Linked DNA regions of Schizosaccharomyces pombe. Changing the gene in region 3 together with the main gene of any one other region gives a genetic interaction. Each region holds a gene or a part of one and is shown on either strand. Other genes may lie near its edges. The genes, in order: rqt2, pfd2, ubr11 and eaf1.

Region 1 (7,723 bases), on a different chromosome or scaffold from region 3:
AATTAATTTTTATTAAACAGACTTAAATATAATAAGGAAATTGGCTTAAAGCCTTCTATTTTTCTACAAAAGCTTCATTAAATCATCAATACAATTTTATGTTCGTAAATTAATGGGTATCCATCACAAACAACCATGACTTTTACATTTCTGTTGCGGCAAGTTGGTGGAATATCCATTGAAATCCGAAGGGATAAACGAATTGAATCATCGTTTCTTCGCCCAGCAAATGAGGCCCGACGTATCGCGAACAGTTCTTGAGTTTCTGAATCTATGATGAGAACGAAAAATCCCTCACTTTGAGGTTTAGGGAACAACGGCGCAAAAATGTAAAAATCGGGGTTGAGCGGCTGATTGAGGCGTCGTAGATAAAGGAGTAGCTTATCTGAAGACGATTGAGAAACTTCAATGTTCATTTTAGGATACGAAATTAAACTATTGACCAGACTTTCTATATCAAAAACGTTAGGGTCATTACATAGCATTTGATATAACTCATCAGTTTTATTTCCTGCAAATTTGTTGAGATAATCTCTTGCTTCCTTTTCACTAGACGCATTAAGTCCAGGTAATGAAGCTCTGTAAATCTCACTCGGATAGCAAGCCTGTTTAAGACACTGCATTAGAGATATGTACTGTAAACAGACATGGGAGTAGCCTAGCTCAGCGGACACATCAATATAAGACTGTATAATACGAATAACCTGATCTAAAACCGTGCTAGTATCAGTAACATAATCATCCACTGGAAGTTTCAATCTTGCCATGTGAGCTTGAGTTAATATAAATGCCTTAACATGAGCATCGACCATAGGAAGGTTTAGGCAAGCAGCCGAATATTTCAGAGATTTATTAATCTCTATGTTTATCAAATCTTCGTTGTGACGAATAGCGAGATCGTCAAACTCAGATGCTTCAGCAAGCAATTGCAACGCAAGATCGAACTCAGCGTTCTCAGTTATTTTTTGAACGAAGTTTCTGATGGTGGTATGAAAAAGATAATAGTAACTAACTATACGACCCAAAGTTGTAGGTGCATAGGTTTCTTCGTTGACACGATATATGCAAGCTGACTTTTCAAGTTCATTAAATGCAGTCACAACAAGTTTCGATAAATAAGTATCTATACTCTTTTGGTCATCTCCATCAGCACCGTAATAAACGGGATTTTGATGAACTCTTCGATAGAAGTAAGTGCACGTTAAAAAATCCATTGCACCCTGTATGCAATCTATAGTGCCCGTAGCAATCTCGGCATTTAAATGGTTATCCAATACTTTATGTAAATAAGACTCTACTGGAAATCCACTATGTAGAAAGTGCTTATAAAACGACTTCTTAATATCCTGTACAAATATACGTGCCACACCAGAATTGTCAAATTGTGGTCGTCCTGCACGCCCTAACATTTGAAGCACATCCGTCAAATCCATGTCTTTATAGCCTCCAATTTTAGCATCGTAATACTCTGTTCCTTTCACAATTACCAAATGTGCCGGCGTATTTACACCCCATGCAAGAGTGCTGGTGGCGATGAGAATCTGAACTTTATTATTTACAAAAAGCTCTTCGGAAATTTTTCTATCATTTTCAGTCAAACCAGCATGGTGAAGTGCTATACCAAATGGTAAAGCCAACTTGAGGCTTTTATCTTCAACTTCTGAAACAATCATTTCTAATTCTTCTTCATCCATGTACAAAAATCTCCTAGGATTGTCTTCTAAACCACAAAAAGCTATCAAATCTTTTGCAGTTAATCTAGTTTGACGGCGCGACGAAACAAAAATTAAAACAGGTTGGGTAGGAGAGTGCGTTTTGATGGCTTGAAAAGCAGGCTTATTCATCGACATCATCCTTGGGCAATAGGCTCTACCAGGGAATCCATCGATATATATTTCTAAAGGAACTGGGCGCACGGAATGCCTAAAATTAAATAGACCATCTCTTATGTTAAGCCAATTTGCAAGATCGTTAGCGTTAGCAACAGCAGTAGATAAACCAAGAACTCTAACTTTCTTATTAGTTTGAGAAGCAACATAATTCATTCGGGAGACAATCATTTCAAGGACAGGACCTCGATCGCTACCTAATAAATGGATTTCGTCAAGGATAATTAATGAGACATCCTGAACATACTTCCTAGATTTCCAACTTCTAGTAATACCATCCCATTTTTCCGGTGTTGTAATTATGATATTTGCATTCGTAACAGCCTTAACATCCGGGTTAGTATCACCAGTTAATTCAATCATACTAATCCCCATTGGTTCAACTAACCTGTGTCCCCAGTCCTTTACTCTTTCCTTGACTAAAGCTTTCATTGGAGCAATATAAACTACTTTCGACTTAGGATAATTGTGAAGAGCTCTCCAAGTAGCTAATTCTGCGGCCATAGTTTTACCAGATCCAGTAGGTGCACCAACGAAAATATTTGTATCGGTGTGATAAATAGTGTGAAAAAATTGAGTTTGGACTGCATTAAAAAACGAGAATCTTTTAGCGCATATACCTTCTAGCACTGGATCGTGCAAAGCCGTAATTGGTAAAGGTTGAAGATCCAATAATTCTGTAATGGGATTGGAATCGTCATGAAAAACAACATTAGAAAGAGAAACCGGGGTAACTGTTTCAGCGCCTAGCCATTTATCTGATACTGCAATAATGTATAGTTGTGAGGGTAATGGATTAGACACAGGTATGGTAAAGGATAGTAAATGAGAAGTGCTAACGTTCCGTTTATTTAGGAGCAACTGTTCATGATGAAGAATCTCAAGACCGTTACTATCTTCAACAAATATCCAAAACATTTGACTGTTTCCATGATATCTCATGTCCCAATTAAAATTGGGAGTGATATTTAATACAAGTCGCAAAACGTTTTTCGTTAAAGGTAGCAAATCAACATTAATGTTTAAAAGAGGTAATTTGGAAATAAATTTTTTAACTGTAGGGCCCATTTTTCGGTTATGAATAAGATCACCAAGTTCTCCTGTAGACATGTCCGACAATTCTTCTAATGATAAAGACCCACACTGATTTTCCACTTTGACTGCAAGGTCATGTGGAAGATCAAACTGAAGTAAGGGGTGTTCAAAAGACCACTGCCTCCTATCAATTGACTTGTTTAAGCTAAGGATAGTAAATGCCGAGGCCCAAGTCCTTGACATTGCAATTTCGAAAAGAGCCCTAGTTATTCGACCCGCGTTTTGTGCAACATAATTTGTATCTGATGTTAGGGTAAAATCTTCTACATGCGCACGAGAAATGTATGACTGCAGAATAACGTTAACTTTTCCTGATGTATTCGAAATACTATCCCTCAACTGACAAGGACTACTGTTTTCCATTAGTGATTCAAGCTCACGATGCTCATTTTCTCTCGATTTGATTTGGGAAAACTCGCTGCATTGGCTCAAAAGAGCTATAATGTCTGCTTCCGACATTTTGCTTTTCAATAAATTATTTAATGTTGAGACAGTTTGATAATTGATATAGTAATTGGACGCGATTCTACCTAAATCTTTAGGAATCAGGTATCCGTTTTTCTTATTGTAAACGATCATTTGATTATCTGCCAGCCTTCCTGCCGCTACAGATACCAATTCTCTTCGCTTGCTGCCTAGTAAAGGATCCTCAACAAGTTCGTCATAAGCAATACCGTATACAAGTGGATTACGTCTCATCCTGATATAAAGATAAGTATAACCTAACCACGATACAGCTTCGTCAATATTAGTTACCGTTCCTAAAGAAACTTCAGCGTTTAAGTTGTCAACCAATCTATCGGTGAAACGAGATTCAATAGGGCTTTGTTGTGTTACAACGGAGATGTAATGAGAAAGTTTATCATGTGTCGTAATTATGTACGCGACTGCCGAACTTTCAAACTGAGGACGACCAGCACGACCGAATATTTGTAAAACGTCCAACACGCCAAGATCTACAAAAGAACCCTTTTGTGGATCATAAAGCTGAGTTCCTTTAATTAATACAGCATAAGCCGGTAAATTAACACCCCATGCTAGGGTAGCAGTACAGCATAAAATTTTAAGAATACCCATAGAAAACAAACGTTCAGTAAGATGTCGGTCCGATCGTAACATGCCAGCGTTGTGAATCCCCATACTGTATTTGAAAAGTTCTTTTAACTCTTTGTTTTTTGACTTTGAAACATCTCTTTGAGCTAGACTATATTTTTCATGTTGTGAGTTGTCCAACAAATCAGCCTCTCCCTCATGGAAAAATTGTTCCCTCAACTTCTTAGCTGAATTAATGGTTTCCTTCCTAGAATGTACAAATATCATTACCTGATGGCCTTCCTGAATCAGTTTCAAAACTTTATCAAAACAAGCTTCATCAATATTTGAGTTTACTATTTTAGGAGAACCTTTAGCACCGATGAAATGCTGTTCAATAGGGCATGGACGAAATGCAGATGAAAAATAAAACAATCCCTTGTACCTATTGACGCCTAAAAAATCAGCTACATCAAGGTAGTTTGGAAGTGTGGCAGAAAGACCAACAATTCTAATCATCTGTTGACTTGTTTCTACCAGCCTTTGTGTCCTAGCGACAAGTGATTCAATAACAGCACCACGTTCATCATGAAGCATATGTACTTCATCAATGATAACCAAACGTACTTTCTCGGCTAACTGAGTGTCGCCGACGCTTTTTCTAGTAACTACGTCCCATTTTTCAGGTGTTGTAACAAGTATCTGAGTTTCTGCTATTTCCGTTTTGGTTAGTTGCATATCACCAGTAAGTTCTCTAGTTTTCAATCCCAACCAAGCGAGACGTTTTCCCATTTTCTCTACAACCTCAGCAGCCAATGCCTTCATAGGAGCAATGTAGACAATCTTAAAATCATCTCTATGAACATCTAGAGGTTCCGATTCATCCATAAGATTCATACTTTCTACATAGTTGGAGATTGTTTGCAACATTGCGAGCAGAGCAACATCAGTTTTTCCTGCACCTGTAGGTGCACAAATTAACATATTCTCGTTTGTCTTGTAGGCGATAGGATAGACAAGCGATTGGATTCTGTTCAAAGTTTGGTAGCTAAGGAATGTTTTTCGACAAAGAATATCCATCGAAGAAATTTCTAACAACTTTTCCCCTTGCATTTGTGGAGCACGCTGAGCATGAGGAACAATAATCTCTTCATATTTCTGGTAATCTTCTCTTTCACTACCAGCCGGTAATGCAAACTTTTTCCCAATGACGCTAATAGTATTACCAAGCCTTTTATCCCCATACACATGAGGATATTTTTCCACTTCAAAAACTTGCTGTCCAGTAAATAAAGGACCTCTGTTATCACGAGACCGACTAAATCTTCTCGGCCTACTTTTTAAACTGTCTAATAATCCCTGACCATGCGTAGCAGAAGAACCAGCTTCAGAGGTATAGCCATCAGAAAGTTGCGCAGCAATTGAAGTATCATTTTGATTCATGTATTCTTCTATTAAATTGGACGAATTAGCGACGATATCTGAAATCAAGTCAATATGATCAAGTCCAACAAGATTCAGTAAATCTTCTTGAATGGCACATTGATCTTCAGTCGCTTTTAGGCTCATAATGACTGCTTCAAATAGTACTGAAGCATCAAGTTCAGTACTTGAAGATTGAGAAATTTCATTGCAGCAATTTTGCAGCCAAGTTAAATCTTTAAGAGCAAATTCATTATTGTCGGAGTCAGTAACGTCCTCGGGATTGATTAAATTATAATTTGTTTTCAAAATTTCGTCAACTTTTAACGATAAAGCACCTAGCTCAGCATTCGAATCACTCAGCGAAAAGCTATATGGAGTATCACAAAAACTAGCAGGACCTAGCTTTTCTAAGTGATTCACTACATAATTTAACTCAACTTCCATGAAAACTGTAAAAGGATAGATCGTTGAAATTAAAACCTCCTTAAACAGAAAAAATTTGAATTTTTATTGCTTTTATAGGATTGTATCCAATATACTACCCAATTTAGCACTGCTAGTAGTGTAGGGGATGGTTTGTAAACAAATGGCCACTACCTATTATTTGTGTAATAGAAAAATACCGTAGTCGAAGGTATTATGTGTGTACATACGATTGCAAGAAGTATGGCGTTTTCAACCAAAGCAGAAACAAACTTAACCCACACCATTAACTTGATTTACAGCATATTTACAGAATGAAGCTGTATTCTGTCTCTATACTCCGCTTTGACCCAAAACCAGTGCAATTATTATGCACTGCCTCAGACTTATCTAGTTTCTCATTTTTTCAACGATCATCGTATGTGCAAGATTTAATTGAAGAGTAGTTTGTTAACAAATATTTCAGCATCGGAGAGTTCATGAATTTTTTTACAAAGACTGTTGCAGAACGTACTAATCCAGGGCAAAGACAAGACGTTGAACAGTCCAATTACGTTTTTCATGTGTACAACCGATCGGATGGGTTGTGCGGTGTGATTGCTAGTGACAAGGAATACCCTTTACGTGTTGCTTATACTCTTCTAAATAAGATTCTAGACGAATTTTTGACAAAAAATCCTCGCACCAAATGGGAATCTGGTGCTGTTACCCTATCCTTTCCAGAATTGGATACCTATCTATCAAAATATCAAGACCCCAAGCAGGCTGATACGATTATGCGAGTGCAACAAGAATTGGATGAAACTAAAGATGTACTTCATAAAACAATCGAGAGTGTCTTAGCTAGAGGAGAGAAGTTGGACGACTTGATCCAACGTAGTGATAACTTATCTACACAGTCTCGAATGTTTTATAAATCTGCTAAAAAGCAAAATTCTTGCTGTATAATAGCTTAATTATTTTATAAATTCATTTGTTTGGTTTTCCTTTCTTCCCAATGCCCAAATTATATCATATTTTTTCAAGTTGGTATTCTTGCATTTTGTTTGCTGCAATTATCGATTGAATATCAAAACCTTGTTAATTTTTCTGCGCCTGTTCCTAGAGTCCATGAAATTGTTCTTCTATCATTATCTTTAATCTGATCTTTTCATGACACGTTGTTTGCATTCCGGATTGCTTTTATGTTATAGAGTAGATTACTTGTTGAAAAAGTCTAGCATGTTTCAATGAGCATACACACTCTTCGTTGATGCTCATAGCATGAATGGTTCACTTTATAAACTTGTAAAGGAGATTTTTTTAAAGATTGTAAAATTATTGAGTTTGTTGGAGCGAGAAAACTATCGGGCTTTTTTCGTTACAGATTTTTCTATAGTTTAGATTTATCTTCTAGTATATATCAAGTTACACAAACTCAATTGTTGTTGGCAAGCAAAATGGTTTGGTAGTAATTTTCATTATTCGTTAATGCTATTATGCATTTCTTTGATAAAATAGTTCAAGAAAGGTAGTGGTTTGGTACCCTTCGTTTATTGAAGTAAAAGTTTGAAGGGTTGAGGAGTATGTGCAAGCACGCCATCAATATGCTGCAGATGCAGCTGCATCTATATTTTATTACCTTCCCGGTATAGGTTGCTTCTTCTTATAATAAAGCGATTTGCATGATCGAAAGCCCTCCTTCGAGCTAGGTATTATGGTGATTAATTCTCCATCCAGTGTATAGTAGTTTCCTTGATAGAGTTTTGCTTTTTCTTGGAATTGCTTTGCATCCTCTACAAAATGATTTTCCTTATTGTGCTGCATGTGAATGTGTGCAAGAAAATTGGTGTAATGGATTAGTAAACAAACACATTACA
Region 2 (3,243 bases), 3.2 Mb from region 3:
CTAAATATTCGTTTGAATGGAGTAATGTGTCAATATTAGAGGGCGACATTGACTCAATTAAAGAAAAAACTGAAAAAACTAAATTATCGTCATTATTCTATGCTGGAAAGCATGAATATTTTTGTGTATATCCCAATGCGTCTCTTATAAAACAAAATAGCACAACCGAACCAAGCTATGATTTACAAGAATTGCGGATACAAGGGACTGAAAAAATCAATGAGCTTGCTAATGTATTTTTAATCGAGGTACGAGTTCTAATTGTTTTATTTGTCTTAAACAAACCAACTTTACTAAAAGGTCATTATTTGACATGTCCATAAAAATTTTAGAATTAATGACTACTTTTAGTACATGTAGTGTTTTTCAAGCTAATCATTGTATTAGAATCGTGGTTATTGGACTTATGACTATGTCTACGGTCAACACGTGCGTCAATATCATTTGGAGCCGCAGCAAGGTTCTGACAAAGTCCTTGCTAACCCTATGTATATACTTGGTACGGCACCTAACACTCAAACTAAAAAGAATTTGGAAGAAAATTGGGCTATTGGATTTGTTGAAGGTAAAGCATATTTGCAAACAACTTTCCGAAATGGGACTATGTGCGACATTACTAAGAGACCAAGACACGTAATTCTAAGTTATGAATGCAGTACAAATTCGGATACTCCTGAAATTACTCAATATCAAGAAGTTTCAAGCTGTGCATATTCAATGACTATTCACGTTCCCGGTTTATGCTCATTACCTGCTTTCAAAATTCAAGAGGACATACCCTCTGAAAAAATTGTGTGCTATAATGTAATTAAAGAAAAATCAAACGAAGTCGACCATAAGGATTCCCAGCACGTTGTTGATGAAGTTGCTCAAACATCTCCGCCTGAGGTGAAGGAGGTAGAGACGCAATCAAGTTAGTTCTACCTAACTTACTACATGTATTAAGTCTACGGTTTAAGTGAAACTCTAATAACATAAAGTGATGATATTTGATGACACAAATACTCTTGGATTCTATCCCTGTTCCTCTGTTTAGGAAAAAAATGTTAAACCGAAGATAAAGCACTTGAAAAACAGTCGGCGTGTCAATGAACGCAACTGCGCAATTAATGGAGTCATCTGTATTATTGTCTAACGACTTGAATTTTATTGTCTTTTTGAAACTTTTGGAATTCTGCTTCGAGCTGCTTATACTGGTCGAGCAAACCATTCATGGCTGTTTGAATCTAATATTTTGATTAGTACATCAAGACCAAAAATTCATCTGACAATAAAGGGTCAAAATAAAAAAATTCCTTACCCCTTCTTGAGTAGTTTTAAGGATAGGCACAACAGTTCCCACCGTTCTCTCCACTAGCACTCCATGGATCATTCGAAAACAACGTCGATTATTATCCATGGAGTTTAATGTGTCCATAACAAGTCTTTTTAGTTAGGTATTTAATTTAAAAATTTTTTATGTATCACATACTTATGTTCGTCAGCATCGGTTTCCAAATCGACAATCTTCTGCGCAATTTGTTGTAACCGAGACTTATATGAATTGTACTGCGTCTGTAGAACTGGAACTGGTCAACTATTTTGTATTTTAAACTCATCCACAGTACATACTCTGCTGCCGAGAAGGTTGTTCAGCCATTCTGCTTTTTTGTATACTCAAAAAATGTTGGTGGATTATACATGTTATATCTAAAACGTATACGAATTTTAGTGCGTAGCAATCATTGTTGCTGTAATGATAGATAACAAGCGCTATGGATTACGGTAAATCTGTAATTAATTAGACTCTGAGTATAATTTTAAAACAGTAATTAAATGTTTGTGTATTTTAAAATTAATGTAATAGTTAAACTATATTAGTCTAATTTTTAAATGCCTATCATTTGCACTATACGTATATCAACTTGATTAGCTCAACCTGTGAGATAGAAGGGTATATTTTTTTAACGATTTCAGCGTTTTACTTATTTTATTGCAGTTACGACAGTATTTAATAATAATTAAAAGAAAGGCGGAATCTTTCAATGTGCTAAATATGCTTCAGTTATCCCACCTTATCTTGTAAGAATTGTAAATCAAGATCTAGTCACATAATGAAAATAATATCTGTTTTATTAAGGCTGCAGGCAGAGCGCACCAAGTATTTAAACTAATGTATTCGTAATCTATAAGTCAATTTCTAACTCAATATCTTAACTCACACCAAAAACCCATCAAAGCTTAATATAAATCTTTTATCTTTTTTCTATTAACCTGATAGCATCATTCAAGCTTCTTTGAAAGTAAATTTTAGTTTTTAAGTCATGGAACAAAATTCTCTAGAGCACAATTCATCACTCTGTGACAATTCATATGATAAATTTGTCAAACAAGGAAAAACGTATGAAAGTAAACAGCACGATTTAGAGGCTATACGTCCAGTTTTAAATAACGATACATGTCTCCTAGAAGATAAAGACTACCGCATACAATTACGCTGGAATTCTTCTCTTTTGCCAGTCTTAAAATTTCGCTTATTGTTAGATTATCTGCAGTATAGCATTCCACAGAAGATTCCGAAGATATACTGTTTTTTATAACTTCAGGTTCCATTGATTTAATCCAGGGCATCCCACTTACTGAAGAAAAATTTGTCGCTATAACGGTATCTCCTTTACGAAGAAGGATTTTCATAATCCCAGTAACGTCTTTTGTGTTAGTGAAAGCTACTACCCATGATACTGATTTATTGTGCTCACGTCTTTGCGAATTTACAAATTTCGCAAGCTCAATCGCAGCTTCTTTATTGTGTGCTCCGTCAAATAAAATATCACCCAAAGAAGGAACCGAACGAATGTCAAGCCTTCCAGGCCAAGATGTATTTTTTACACCATTTTGTACATGGGGAAGCATAATTGAAAATGACGAAGAAAGGATATCGAGAGCAGTTACTGCACAAGCCAAATTTTGTCCTTGATAATCCCCCTTCAATGGAGTACTAAAAGTATTGGTTCCCCAATTTGGAGTATTGATGATCCACTCATTTTTGTTTTCACCTGATTTTCCTTTTGCCAAATAAAACGGATGTGCCCTCGTTTCCTCTGCACTTAATTTTAATTGATTTAGGACGTTAACTTCATTTAACCCATCAACCACGCACGGAACATTCTTTTTAAAGATCCCAGCCTTTTCTTTAGCAATAGCCTCTAAGGTATTTCCTAAAAATGCTTGATGGTCCAAGCAAATACGTGAAATTATTGAAAG
Region 3 (7,788 bases):
TGACAAGCTCATATATGCCAGGATATTCCAAAGATATAGTACTATCACCCCATGTATTTTGAGCTAAGTGTTCACACCAGCCAGCGATTAATTCCAAAATCTGATTATTTTCATCAGAAGACATTTGAGAATACAGTTCTTGTAAAGGAGGAACTTTTATTAATTTGGAAAGCCTTTCTAATTCACTGTCATCTTCATTGTTGGAGAATTCATTGAACTCGAGTGAAATGTCAAACATGCAATATAATACCAAAGCAACTCGTCGGAGAAACGGTAAAGAATACTTCTCCACCAAAGACATTAAACGAAGTAAATTAGACTCATCATCCAAAATTTCAATGTTATTTGAAGAACCACACCAAAGCAGTACATTCTTGCATAGAATATAAAATTGGGACTTGGATTGCTGACTATAATTAATGGTTAAATCAGGAACGACCGATGAATCTGCAACCACTTTTATCATAGAAATTATTGTCTTGCAAATTTCTGAAAGATAGAAAAGCTTAACGTAATACAAAATATTATCTTGTTTACCAAAGATTAGCATTAAAGATGAAATTTTCACAAAGTCATCGAAAGTATTTGAAAGCAAAAACGGTTGAATTTGATCATGGTCAGACATCCGGCCATTTCTCAACATGGACTTTAATTGCGAGTGACGATAGAAAATTTTACAAACTAACAGTTTTTGGCTCTCCATTAACAAGAGGGCTTGTTGGTCAGATTTTATGATCTGATCACAAACACACTTCAAAACGGTATCAGATAAAGTCGGCAAAAACGATAATGTTAGGGGTCCCAGTTCATTGAACCACACCGATCGAGTTGCTCCACTTTGTTTCGGAGAGCACCTCTGACTAACTTCTAGAGAAGAAACGGTATAGGCCAAACTGTTCAGTAAATCATGAGGTGAAACATTCGTAAATGTACTTCCTTTAACCAATTTCATAGCCAATTTTGTTGTTTCACAATATCGATCATAAAGGTCGGATACGTCCCGATTATTACTTTGATCAATTAATGCACCATCGGCTATCTTTAAGCGAGCAAGCATTGCCGAGATAATTTTGCTGTTTATCCAAGGTCTCAGGAAACAGCTTCTAAAAGTATCTTTCGTGTCGGACAGAGAACTTCGAACTAATTGATATTCAAAGCTCGAGGAAGACATAGTACCGATTTCCTCTAACCAACCATTCATGCTACGAGGGAAATTAAGGGTGTCAATGTTGAGACACATTTTGGGGATCTGAGGCATAGGCAATAACACATTCGACAATGACCTACAGAGAGGACACATAAAAAATTTAGCAGTAGAATACTTGTAATAGTATTCACTTAACCCAGCGGTAACATCATTTCTATACATGGACCTAGCAACGTAATAGTTTTTAAAACAACCTAAATGCATGAGATGACCACAACCGGAGACAAAAACACCTCTTATGTTATTTCCTGGGGGATAAGCACTTAATAAACGATCTTTTGAACGGTTGAAAACAACTGTATCATATTTTTTTCCAAATGGCCTCGAATGAGATTCCCTATCTAAATTAGGGGGAACACTATAAATTTCATCCAAAATGATTTCGCTGTGAACATCTGTTTTTCGAAGTAATGAGCTTCCTTGAATAATGCCGATCACTCCATATGGTGCTTGATCGTTGCATTCCTCTTGGCAAAGCAAACAATTACCACGGATATGTTCATGGTACTTAACTTCCTCCTCTGGCTCTTCTGTTGTAACTTCATCTTCCGTTTGATCTTCTCCGATATCGAAATCGGTATTTTGGGCAAGAAAAGATGCTTGCTGATCGCGAAACTGCTGCATAATTTTCTTCTGTTTCTCTAAAGCTAATCTTTTCTTTTCCTGCGTTTTCTCAATCTCGTTAGAATCCGAAGTAGAAGAGGTAGTTGAGAGTTCAAAGTGTGTAGCTTCCAGCATGTTGCTATATGCAGATGGATCATTCTTTTGTAAGCCAGCCAATACAGCATTAACTTTTACATGAACATCTTTGTATTTAGGAGACTTGAGAATTGCAAAACAAAGTTCCGCTAAGCAGTACGCACTGCCACCAAATTCTCTCATAATACTACTATCAGTCGGATAACGCTCAGCGCATGAACGGGAGCAGAAGTCATTTGATTTCGAGAATTCATGAATTTTCATAGAGATTAGACACAACTGAAGTGCATCGCCCAGAATAGTATTTCCAATATCGGATGATCCAAAGGACTCCGCTTGAACAAGTGCATACTCAATCGCACGAAAAATGATAAGACTAAAAGTGCTCGCATTGACGGCTGCAAAAAATATATCATGGCCGTCCTTCTCAAGAAATCTAATTTTTGGTTCTATTATAATCGACTCAGCACTTACATTATTTTTCTTCGCCAAACGTTTTTTAAGGATAGTATCTGACTCCTCTCGTTCATTTTTATTATAATGAAAATAATATGGATCCACCAAATCATAATATTCGTCCTTCAAACTGTAAACGCCAAAATCGTGGAGACCGTCAGGTGCTTTGTAGGAAGTTACTTCTTCTCGAATTTTATCAAATGACAAACTCTCTACTAAATTACTTGAAATAGTAGACAGCAATGCAGAATAAGCAAGAGGACCAAAGCATAGCTGTTGAGCTAATCGAGTGCGAATAATATCTTGGATATCAACATGTAAAATTTGTTCGCGCTCTGTTATAAGGGCAATTAATAACTCTAACATTTTACACAACATAGCTGGTATTCTTTCCGTGTCGTAATTGGGATGTTCATTATAAGTCAAATTATAAAGCCAATCAGTAAATTCAAATCTTTGAACAACTGCATTTAAAACCAAGTTTGGATCAACAAACATTAATATTGTTTGAATAGCGAGGATGTCCTTATCATAAGAAACTTCGATGTTATTAAGTTGACGATAGAAAGCGTCAGTTAATAAAATACTACGCCCATTTCTTATCCAAAGGTTACAATCAATTTGAGCTAAAAGCACACAAACCCTCAAAGGATGGTCAAGAAGAGCAAGTAGTGTATCCTTATCCCAATGAGAAGAAGCGTCAACACGACAATATGAAAATAAATTGGAAAGCATCCAGTGAAGAGGATGATAAAAACTTATAGGATCCCTCGACACGGAAAACGGAACTAAGGGCTGTGTAAAATTTGTCAAAGATGAAGAGGGAATACAAGAGAGAGGTTCGAGAGACTCTGCAATGTCTAATTTAGGGTGGGTGATGGAAGTTATGATACATTTTATAGCATAAAACAACCGTTCATATGGTGCTTGTGTAAAACAAGATGAAACAGTGTTACTGAGCATAGCTACCCTTTGCATTACAAACAATATATTTTTCCCATGAGGAAAATCCCACTGTACGTGACTGAGTATTGCCCGTTGTTGTGGAATCACACCTTGGAACACCCGTAACAAATCAATATACTGATGAACATAACGCGTATCATCCACTACAAGCTTTTTGACTTGCGGATGTTGAAGTAAGTATCCGAGATCACTAAACAAATTGTAAGTCCTTCGGGTTTTTAAGACTTGTCGGTTTAGCTGAATTGTGGGAGTGTATTCAATGTCTGAAGAAAAAAGGGTTGACGGCCGGTTAGACTGCGTTAGTAAGCTTAAAGTTGTTGCGTTTAAATTAGTTAAAAAATCATAGTCTTTCACAACGGCTTCTGCAAGACTAGGAGTAGTGAAAAATTGAACGGAAAGAAACATGACAGAGTGGTCTGGCTCTCTATCTGCAAAAAGAAACGCTGTAGCGAGAGACCTATAATGGATTACGAAACGTATACCCATAAGACGCTTAAATAGAAGATTTCTATTAAAAGGAACAACATACAATTTTGAGAGCAGCCCTCTTAACCGTTTCCAAAATTTGAGATCAAACAGCAAAAAGTAATCTAAACGAAGAATGGAAGATGGAGATTCAACGAAGCTATATGACGAAGGAGGAATTGGATGAGGACTTTTCCAATAATCCTCACGAAGAGATACTTGACAAACCGCAGCAGGGCGGGGTCTACGACGAGCGTTTATGATTTGTCGAAGGTTATTAAGGAGTTGAGAGTTAAACTCCGGGCGAATAGTAACGACATCCTGAGTTGCAGTAGTGGGAATAGGTACAGGAGTATGCGTCTGAGGATTATAATCTACATTTTCAGTGTTTTGTGATTCATCAGTTTCGTTTTGACTTTCGGTTTCCATTGAAATATCTTGAACATCGTCTTGACGAGTGTTTCGGTTTACACCAGGATAATCAGCCTCAGCAGCTTCATTTTCTTCTGTCTCCATAACTTCATCAGTTAAATCATCAATATCCTCTCGTTCTGTTTCAAAATCCAGAAGGTCATTTACGTCGTTATCATCATCAAGTGGATGATCAAATCCTGCAATAGTAGGATCGGTCATATCCGCTTCAAAATCTTCATCACCACCCAAATTAGCAATTCTAGTTACACCTGTTTCATCTTGAAGGTTTGCGATAACATCGAGAAGTTCTTCTGCGGCATAAATATCATCCTCGCTATCATCGTCATTAACAATCTCCAGAGGAAGGTTATTAAAATTCACCTCAGGCTTAGCAGGTTTTTCAAGGCCAGGAGACCAGTTCTTCAAAATTTCATCGCAAACGATAATTTGTAAATAATCAGCAAAATAGCAAACATGTGATTCTAGAAGATCATCGAACCATTCTAATAGAATACCACAAATATCTTCGCGAAAAAAATCGCGGGCAGTACGAACATTAACAGCTAAGTTTTCTTTTGAAATAGCGTTCGCGATTCTTATTGCTTCGTGAACTGAAGCCGATGTAGCAACAGCAAAGCGGCCAATAGAATCAACACGTTGAGCGACTTCAAGTCCAAAAGCCGTATTTGACGAATCTAACGCCTCAAGCACACTACCTACAACAGCGTCAAAGGTATGCACTTCGTCGTTCCAAAGCATTACACGGAAAACGTTGCAAGGCCTATCAGCTACACCATACTTTGCGCTGCTAAGACGAGAGGCCTCCTCATCTGCTAAGATGCTACCGACAGTAGATTGAGCTTTAAGATTCACGGGGGAACAAGAAAAGACATCGAGAATGAAGTCAAGAAGAATATGAATAGTTGTACGGATAGAGTGTTGAAGTTCTAGTGGGATCACTTCTTCTGGCTTTTTCTGCTCCTCGTCATCGGGGACATTATGTATCTTGCAGTTAAGGTCGACATTCCATGCCTCAGGATCGCCACAGTCGCAGATTCCACTATAAGAGGTTGAAATAGATACATGAGTCTCGTGACCCTCGTGGTTTGTGGCATGAAAGCAAGGAGCACAAAGAACACATGTGTTATCTAGCCCACAGTTCTTGCAACGATATATCACCTCGCCGGCACGAAATACGTGGCCACAAACCTTGGACCCAGAACGTTTATCTTGTAATTCTTGGGCGCATTCGGGTTCAGAGTGCTGAAGCCTCGAGAGACGAAAGTCAGAAGTAATGGCACCTGGCTTTTCTTTGAGAAAATATTTCCAATTGTCTTCGTTGTAATTCAGCAACGACAGGAAAACCTCTTGCAGCAAGTGCGTTTTTGATTCTTCATTTGAATCGTATGCATGCTTTTCCGCGCTTTCTAGAAGGTATTTTTGTAACCTAGAAGCCGATGGTTGCGAAAGAGGAGCCGGCGGGTCGTGCAATTGCATGAAATTATAGGAAAGGTTCTGTGAAGTAGATCTTGGGCCGCAAAGTTTTCTTCAATAATTAAATTGGTTTAAAAAAGCTATTTAATAAACAACAGGCACGCTAAAGCCACGGAATATACAAATTTTCATCAACAGAAAATTGGGGAAGTAATTGAAACAGCATTCAGTTGAATAAAGCAAACTCCAATCCTCCTTTACCTTCTTTAAACTTTTCTGTTGAAACAAATTTCTCTAAAAATATTTTTGGCAGCTATAAACCGTTCCTTCTTAATATTTCTGATTTGTATACCTAAATGGCGAGTTACTTCTTGCCATTGCCAAAAATCCATTTATACTACTTTCAGGTAACATCGTCACCTTTCTTGTATCAGTAGCCAATTGAAGATACCAAAAAATGACACCAGCTTGATAAATTCATCAGCTGTAGTCAACTCTTTAAAGCCATTTACTTTCAATTCAATTTCCTATTTCCTTCTTCTTAATATGTGTTAATATGTGTTGATTGCTTTTTTTCGTTTCGATCTAGTGGGCTTGATTTCATCCTTTGCCAGATAGGAATCACCATCATATGAGTTGGAAAGTAAGAGATATGCACCCTAGAGTAATCCAGCTCGAGATTCTTAAACTATTTATCCTTTTTAATCTAATTAAAATTTTTTCCTTTGGGTGATAATTTTCCATCGAGTTTGAATTACCCAAACTTCTCAATTATCTAACACCCCAAGATTTCAAAGTAAATATTGTTATCGCAGTGCATAGTAGATTTTAATGAGCGCTTGAATACTTCGGGCCCATGGAAATCATATCAAGGTTAAACAGTAGCATGCGCACACTATATTTTACTATACTATACTATAATACTTTAAGTAGGGCCAAAAGTTGATGGCTTGAAAAATGGGTTAAATGTTGAAAAAGGCTTTAAAATAATAGATAACCTTAAAGAAATAAATATTACTTCATGGGAATAGTTTATTTAAATTTCATTAGTTTTCCAGCAGTATTGTTAGCAAATAAAAGCAATTGCTCTTACATTGTTGCCGAGCACGGAGGCTAAATTCGACTCTTTCCAACTAATTAAGTTGGCACATGACGGGAATAGTTAGTGTGTTTAAAATAAATTTAGCAACAATTATTGCTGATCTTTCTTTAGGGAAAAAGGAAAAAAGTGTCACAAACCGGGATCGAACCGATGACCAACAGATCTTCAGTCTGTCATGCTCCCAACTACACCATTGCGACTGTTGTCGGCTTTCTTGAATTAGTAATATGTAATATGTTGTTTAGAAAGTGGTAAGTTAGTGTGCTTTTCTTATATTTACAATGTCAAGTGTTTCTTAAGCACATAAGTAGTATAATATTGAAACATAAAATAGCAAGTATAATACAGTTACTTTATTTTCTCTGGAACAAAGATGGCGATCGGGTAGTGAGATTTACAGAATAAGACAACATTATACCAGATACAAGCTGGAAAGAAATCACTTAATAAATTGTAAAGGCAAGACCAATATTGAAAGTATGATGAATGCCAGAAAATGAATGTCGTTCATATTAGCTTGACTGAATCATAGCAAAAATGGAATAGGTATTAATATCCGAGTTCTCCTCATTTTCTGCTTCCAATACCTAGTTTCTCATACAAAGTGGTTCAGGGTATTGACCACTATATGACTACGCTTTATAGTGCAACAATCAAAGCTTTTTTAATTGAATAGGTGCAGCTATCGCTTACTTTTATCTTGCTACACTTTGTCCAACTTTGAATATCTCTGCTAAACGTTTGTCATTAAGGTTAATCAAACGACTTTTATCATTCGAGTATGTTGTTACACTACCCTAGTTTCTTCTGCTAATAAATTATCAATCGTACGTTAGATGTAGCCAAGCGAGAAATCGCTACTTAGTGTTGCAAGCAAAGATGCATACAATGCAAATGCGCAAAGCCGCATCAGTAGTATAAATTGAATAAATAACAAACAGCATTTATACATGGATTTATCAGCCTTGGATATTGAATTTAATTATTTCCTCAAAAACCTAGGATAATGTAAAAATAAAGGGACCAGCCGGATTTGAACCAGCGA
Region 4 (3,808 bases), on a different chromosome or scaffold from region 3:
GTATTCATTATATTCCTTGTCCAACATGTTTACCTGGTAAAACACACCGCTAGTTGACACTATCTATACTGACTGATGCTGTTGGATGGTGATTTCTAGTTTAGTTTTTCTAATTACAACAATATATTTTCCTTAGTGGAAATGCTTTGAGTAACTTCTTTTCATTTTCATATATTCAGACTAAATAGGTAAGCTCGTCTTTTGCATGCAGGAAACTGAAACGACAAATGTTGGATTGCAAGGATGCTTAATCATCTGATTTAATGAGCCTGATGGTCTTGACAACCAAAATGCTGTCAACTTTGATTACTGAGCAATTTACAAACGAATGTCAAAACTCTTTTTTTGTCTTTTTCCTGGTTCAGACAATTAGTTTTTCTTAACTCCTTTTACTAATTCTTTTTTTTACTAGTCAAGCTTCTTTTTTTTTTATAGTTTATTTAAAACCCCAACGTTGCTACTCTGGTATTGCCGTGGGTTGAATAAAATTGTCCGTCTCATGAAACGCTAAGACAAGCCATGTTTTTTATAGTCATTATGAATTAATAATAATAAAAAGAAATATAAAAAGATGAAAACATTTTAAAACGATATATGTTTTTCCCTTGGCGTAGACACGTTCGTATATAATTAAAAAAATGACACAGAGTGAAACGAGTTTATTACCGCCGATTCGCTGTCGAGTAGTGATGGAAAAGACTTGTCTTGCTTTACTTTACTCCCTGGAATTTCGTTGCAAGTCGTTCATTAACAGATTTTCTCATTATCGTGTTTGGAAAGTGTATACGAAACACAGCATAAAGCATACTTAATCCTCATCCTCGGAAGCGCTGCTGATACCCTCTGCCTGAGCAGAAGAAGCATAATCCCTCTCTTGCGAAGATAGACCCCTCAAAGAGATTGGTTTGCTGGCCGTTTGGGATACTGTAGAGGGGTCGTCTATGGAATTAAATTCCTGATCAAATCCTAGCTCTAACTCTTTGGCAAAGTCATCCAACTCCATGACCTCCATGTCAGGCTCATCGTTGGTATCGGTGGTGATTGGTCCCTTGCTAGATATGGCAGGATATCGAGTATTGCTCGATGAAGGTTTTATTTTTCCATCCTTTGAAGCTTCCAATTCCTTTTCTTTACGTCTCGTGGAATTAGTCGTGACCGCACTTTGAGAGGTCGATTTGGATTCAGAGATTTGGGAATTATCAGATTGAGTGATGGCATTAGAAGGTACAGTTTTAGAGACTTTTGGATTGCGTAAAGCATTTAATCGAGCAATCTCATCAATATGCTCCAGTGTGAATGTCTAATGCCTAATGTTAGTATCGTAGTAGTGACATGAAAACGATTCCTGTTCTATACATACACATGCACGCATGCATACATAGATTTTAACCTCTTTAAAAATAGTATATGGGACAATAACTTACCTTTGTTTTAGCGTTAAAAATTAGTACACAGTCCACATTCCTGGCTCGTTGGCATGAGCCTTCAAATATATGAGGCCTGTCATCATCCTACCAATGAAGATATACATTAGCATTCGTTGATTCAATAACAGAAGCAAATTGATGTTTCAAAATTTGAGGAACCAAAAAGTAAAAAAATGATTTTTTCAAATTTTTACTCCTCATGGAAGAAAAGGGAAACCAACTTTGCTTAGTCAATTTTATAATACTTACAAAAGTTGAAGGAAGACGTAGACGATAGGCTTCCTGAGCCTTTTCTAAAACACCTCGACGAGAAGGGTCCACACTTTCTGGTATAAAATTGTCTATAAACAAAAAAGAAATAAGTATTCTGCCTGGAGAAAGTATGATGTTCATAGTTTGCAACAGAGATATACACTGTCTCTAAAAATAAATGGGCAACGTACATTTAATAGATAAAAGTCCATTTGAATTCTTTGAGAAGCTGGACCCGGGAATAACTTTGTATGATCCCTTCTGTAATGAATTCATGATTGTTTATAATGGTAAAAGTCAGGCCTGTACGAAATTGGAAATTTCGATATAAATCAAATAAATAACGTAAGGTAAGACAGCTCAAGGTTTCTAATTTTAAACCCCAGAAATGTAAGCTACGCAGTTTGGTATCTGGTTTAAGGATACGTAGAACTGCGGTGAGTTTTCCTTGTGGTCTATTATATTACATTACACAGGTTGTATAAGTAGCAACTGAGAATAGGTATTGTATTAACAGGGTTATAATGTTACCTATCACTAATATAGCTCATAACTGAACTGAGGAACGAGGTTCAGTTGGAACTCTATTCATAATATTTCTAAATAGTTGTTATCATCGGGTATCTATGTATATAGACGGATAGTTACCCGTGATTATCAATAAACGGATCTTAGCTAGTATTCCAACATATGACATATAGTGATGCGCAACGTAGTGTATCATAGCGTAGTGTAGTATTGCTGACAAGAAATGAACGATAATGGATAAACACTCAATTTGCTATACCAATTTGCGAGCAGCTATTTTAGCATTCGTAAAAACGAACTTACACAGTGCGCGACCGAGAAAGACGTTGTAGGTTGTACAGTATATATCATTTCGGTACAAGGATGAATCCTTTATTTACAAGATATATATACATTCGAGGACTACCTGCGCACAGTCAGCAGTATGATTGAAATATTATAAAAATTTACTTGCGTTTCTTGTCTTTTAGGTGCATGTCGTAGGGCAAAATTCTCAGAGTATGATGACTGTTAGATTTATTGCTGCTATTGACAACAAAAACGTCACGATCGATTTAAAAATTAGTAAATCAGTAGTCAAAATACATGGTTTTTCTTATTGCTGCGTCAATCTATCATTCATTGATATTTATTAGCTACAGCTCATTTCTTTTTAAAAAATTTACCATATAGCGAATCGCGGGAAATGAACGTTTAACATTTTTAACGAAGTTAGCTTCTAATACATTAATTACGAAGAGCTTGTATAAACAGTTGACTAGTGTAAGCAGGTATATGAGCATTGTGAGCAAAGCCTTTTTGAATAAGATTATGTTTATTATTGTATTATTAATGTACCAAGTTGCATGGGGAAAAAGTCTACGACATTTTCATGAACATTCCATTCTCATTTCTCTACCTCTTGGATTATTATATTAACTTTTCATTTATGGTAAAGCAACATAATCTACGGCTTTACCGTACTCGGTTGTATGGTGTAGCGGTTAGCACGCGAGATTTTGATTCTCGAGATCTGGGTTCGACTCCCAGTACGACCTTTTTGCCAGAGCGAACAGTGAAAGGAAAGAAGCAAGAATTGCTTTTAGACCTGGGTTTGGATTACTTTTTTCGATATCGCCATAGCTTTATTATAAGTAAGGGCTCCTCGATGCGCTAGCAATTTCAAGGCATCGTTCATTAGTGTCTTTGTGAGGGTATATTAGCCGGAGCTGGAGCACATTGAAGCTTAACAGTATCAAAATTTATTTTTTATATTGTAAATCATTTCTACTAAATTATTTACCCACCCTTCATTTTCACGCTTTTCTACCCAACAACGATTTGGTTAATAACGTAAAGCGTACGAATTTGCAAAGCAACGCTTCCGTGGTGTACAGAAAATCGCTATTTTTTAACGAGACAACTTTAAAGCGTAATGCGATATAAAGTTTTTTTAAAGTATCCTTATATATTATTTAGCTAGCGTGGTTAAATTCCCTATTAATTTGCTCATACACTTTTTTTTGTTTCCTTTCCGTAACTTTACTAAACGCATCAACCGCAAATTACAGGTTTTTTAGCTGGGCTAACAAAGGTAATAGAAAATATACACATGGGCCAAA

The links.
Region 1: mutations in ubr11 (region 3) and rqt2 together harm fitness more than expected from each alone (negative genetic interaction), as found in Schizosaccharomyces pombe (one large-scale study listed by BioGRID).
Region 2: mutations in ubr11 (region 3) and pfd2 together harm fitness less than expected from each alone (positive genetic interaction), as found in Schizosaccharomyces pombe (one large-scale study listed by BioGRID).
Region 4: mutations in ubr11 (region 3) and eaf1 together harm fitness less than expected from each alone (positive genetic interaction), as found in Schizosaccharomyces pombe (one large-scale study listed by BioGRID).

The regions. Positions count from the first base shown.
Region 1 is NC_003423.3:3,743,991-3,751,713, forward strand, and holds the start of rqt2 (ATP-dependent RNA helicase), read right to left. Parts: upstream 6,020-7,723; 5' UTR 5,886-6,019; coding exon 78-5,885; 3' UTR 1-77. Other genes in the region: SNARE protein Ykt6, read left to right, coding at 6,179-6,282, 6,331-6,820; protein smp2, read right to left, coding at 7,482-7,670.
Region 2 is NC_003424.3:512,227-515,469, reverse strand, and holds pfd2 (prefoldin subunit 2), read right to left. Parts: upstream 1,669-3,243; 5' UTR 1,640-1,668; coding exon 1,612-1,639; intron 1,563-1,611; coding exon 1,472-1,562; exon of another isoform or gene 1,425-1,471; coding exon 1,301-1,424; exon of another isoform or gene 1,227-1,300; coding exon 1,125-1,226; 3' UTR 919-1,124; downstream 1-918. Other genes in the region: putative misfolded glycoprotein sensor Yos9, read left to right, coding at 1-248, 388-918; fol3 (folylpolyglutamate synthase), read right to left, coding at 2,410-3,243.
Region 3 is NC_003424.3:3,700,711-3,708,498, reverse strand, and holds the start of ubr11 (ubiquitin-protein ligase E3 Ubr11), read right to left. Parts: upstream 6,008-7,788; 5' UTR 5,705-6,007; coding exon 1-5,704.
Region 4 is NC_003421.2:1,859,959-1,863,766, forward strand, and holds eaf1 (RNA polymerase II transcription elongation factor Eaf1), read right to left. Parts: upstream 1,979-3,808; 5' UTR 1,956-1,978; coding exon 1,871-1,955; intron 1,769-1,870; coding exon 1,677-1,768; intron 1,512-1,676; coding exon 1,425-1,511; intron 1,301-1,424; coding exon 809-1,300; 3' UTR 509-808; downstream 1-508. Other genes in the region: serine/threonine protein phosphatase PP2C catalytic subunit Ptc2, read left to right, coding at 3,799-3,808.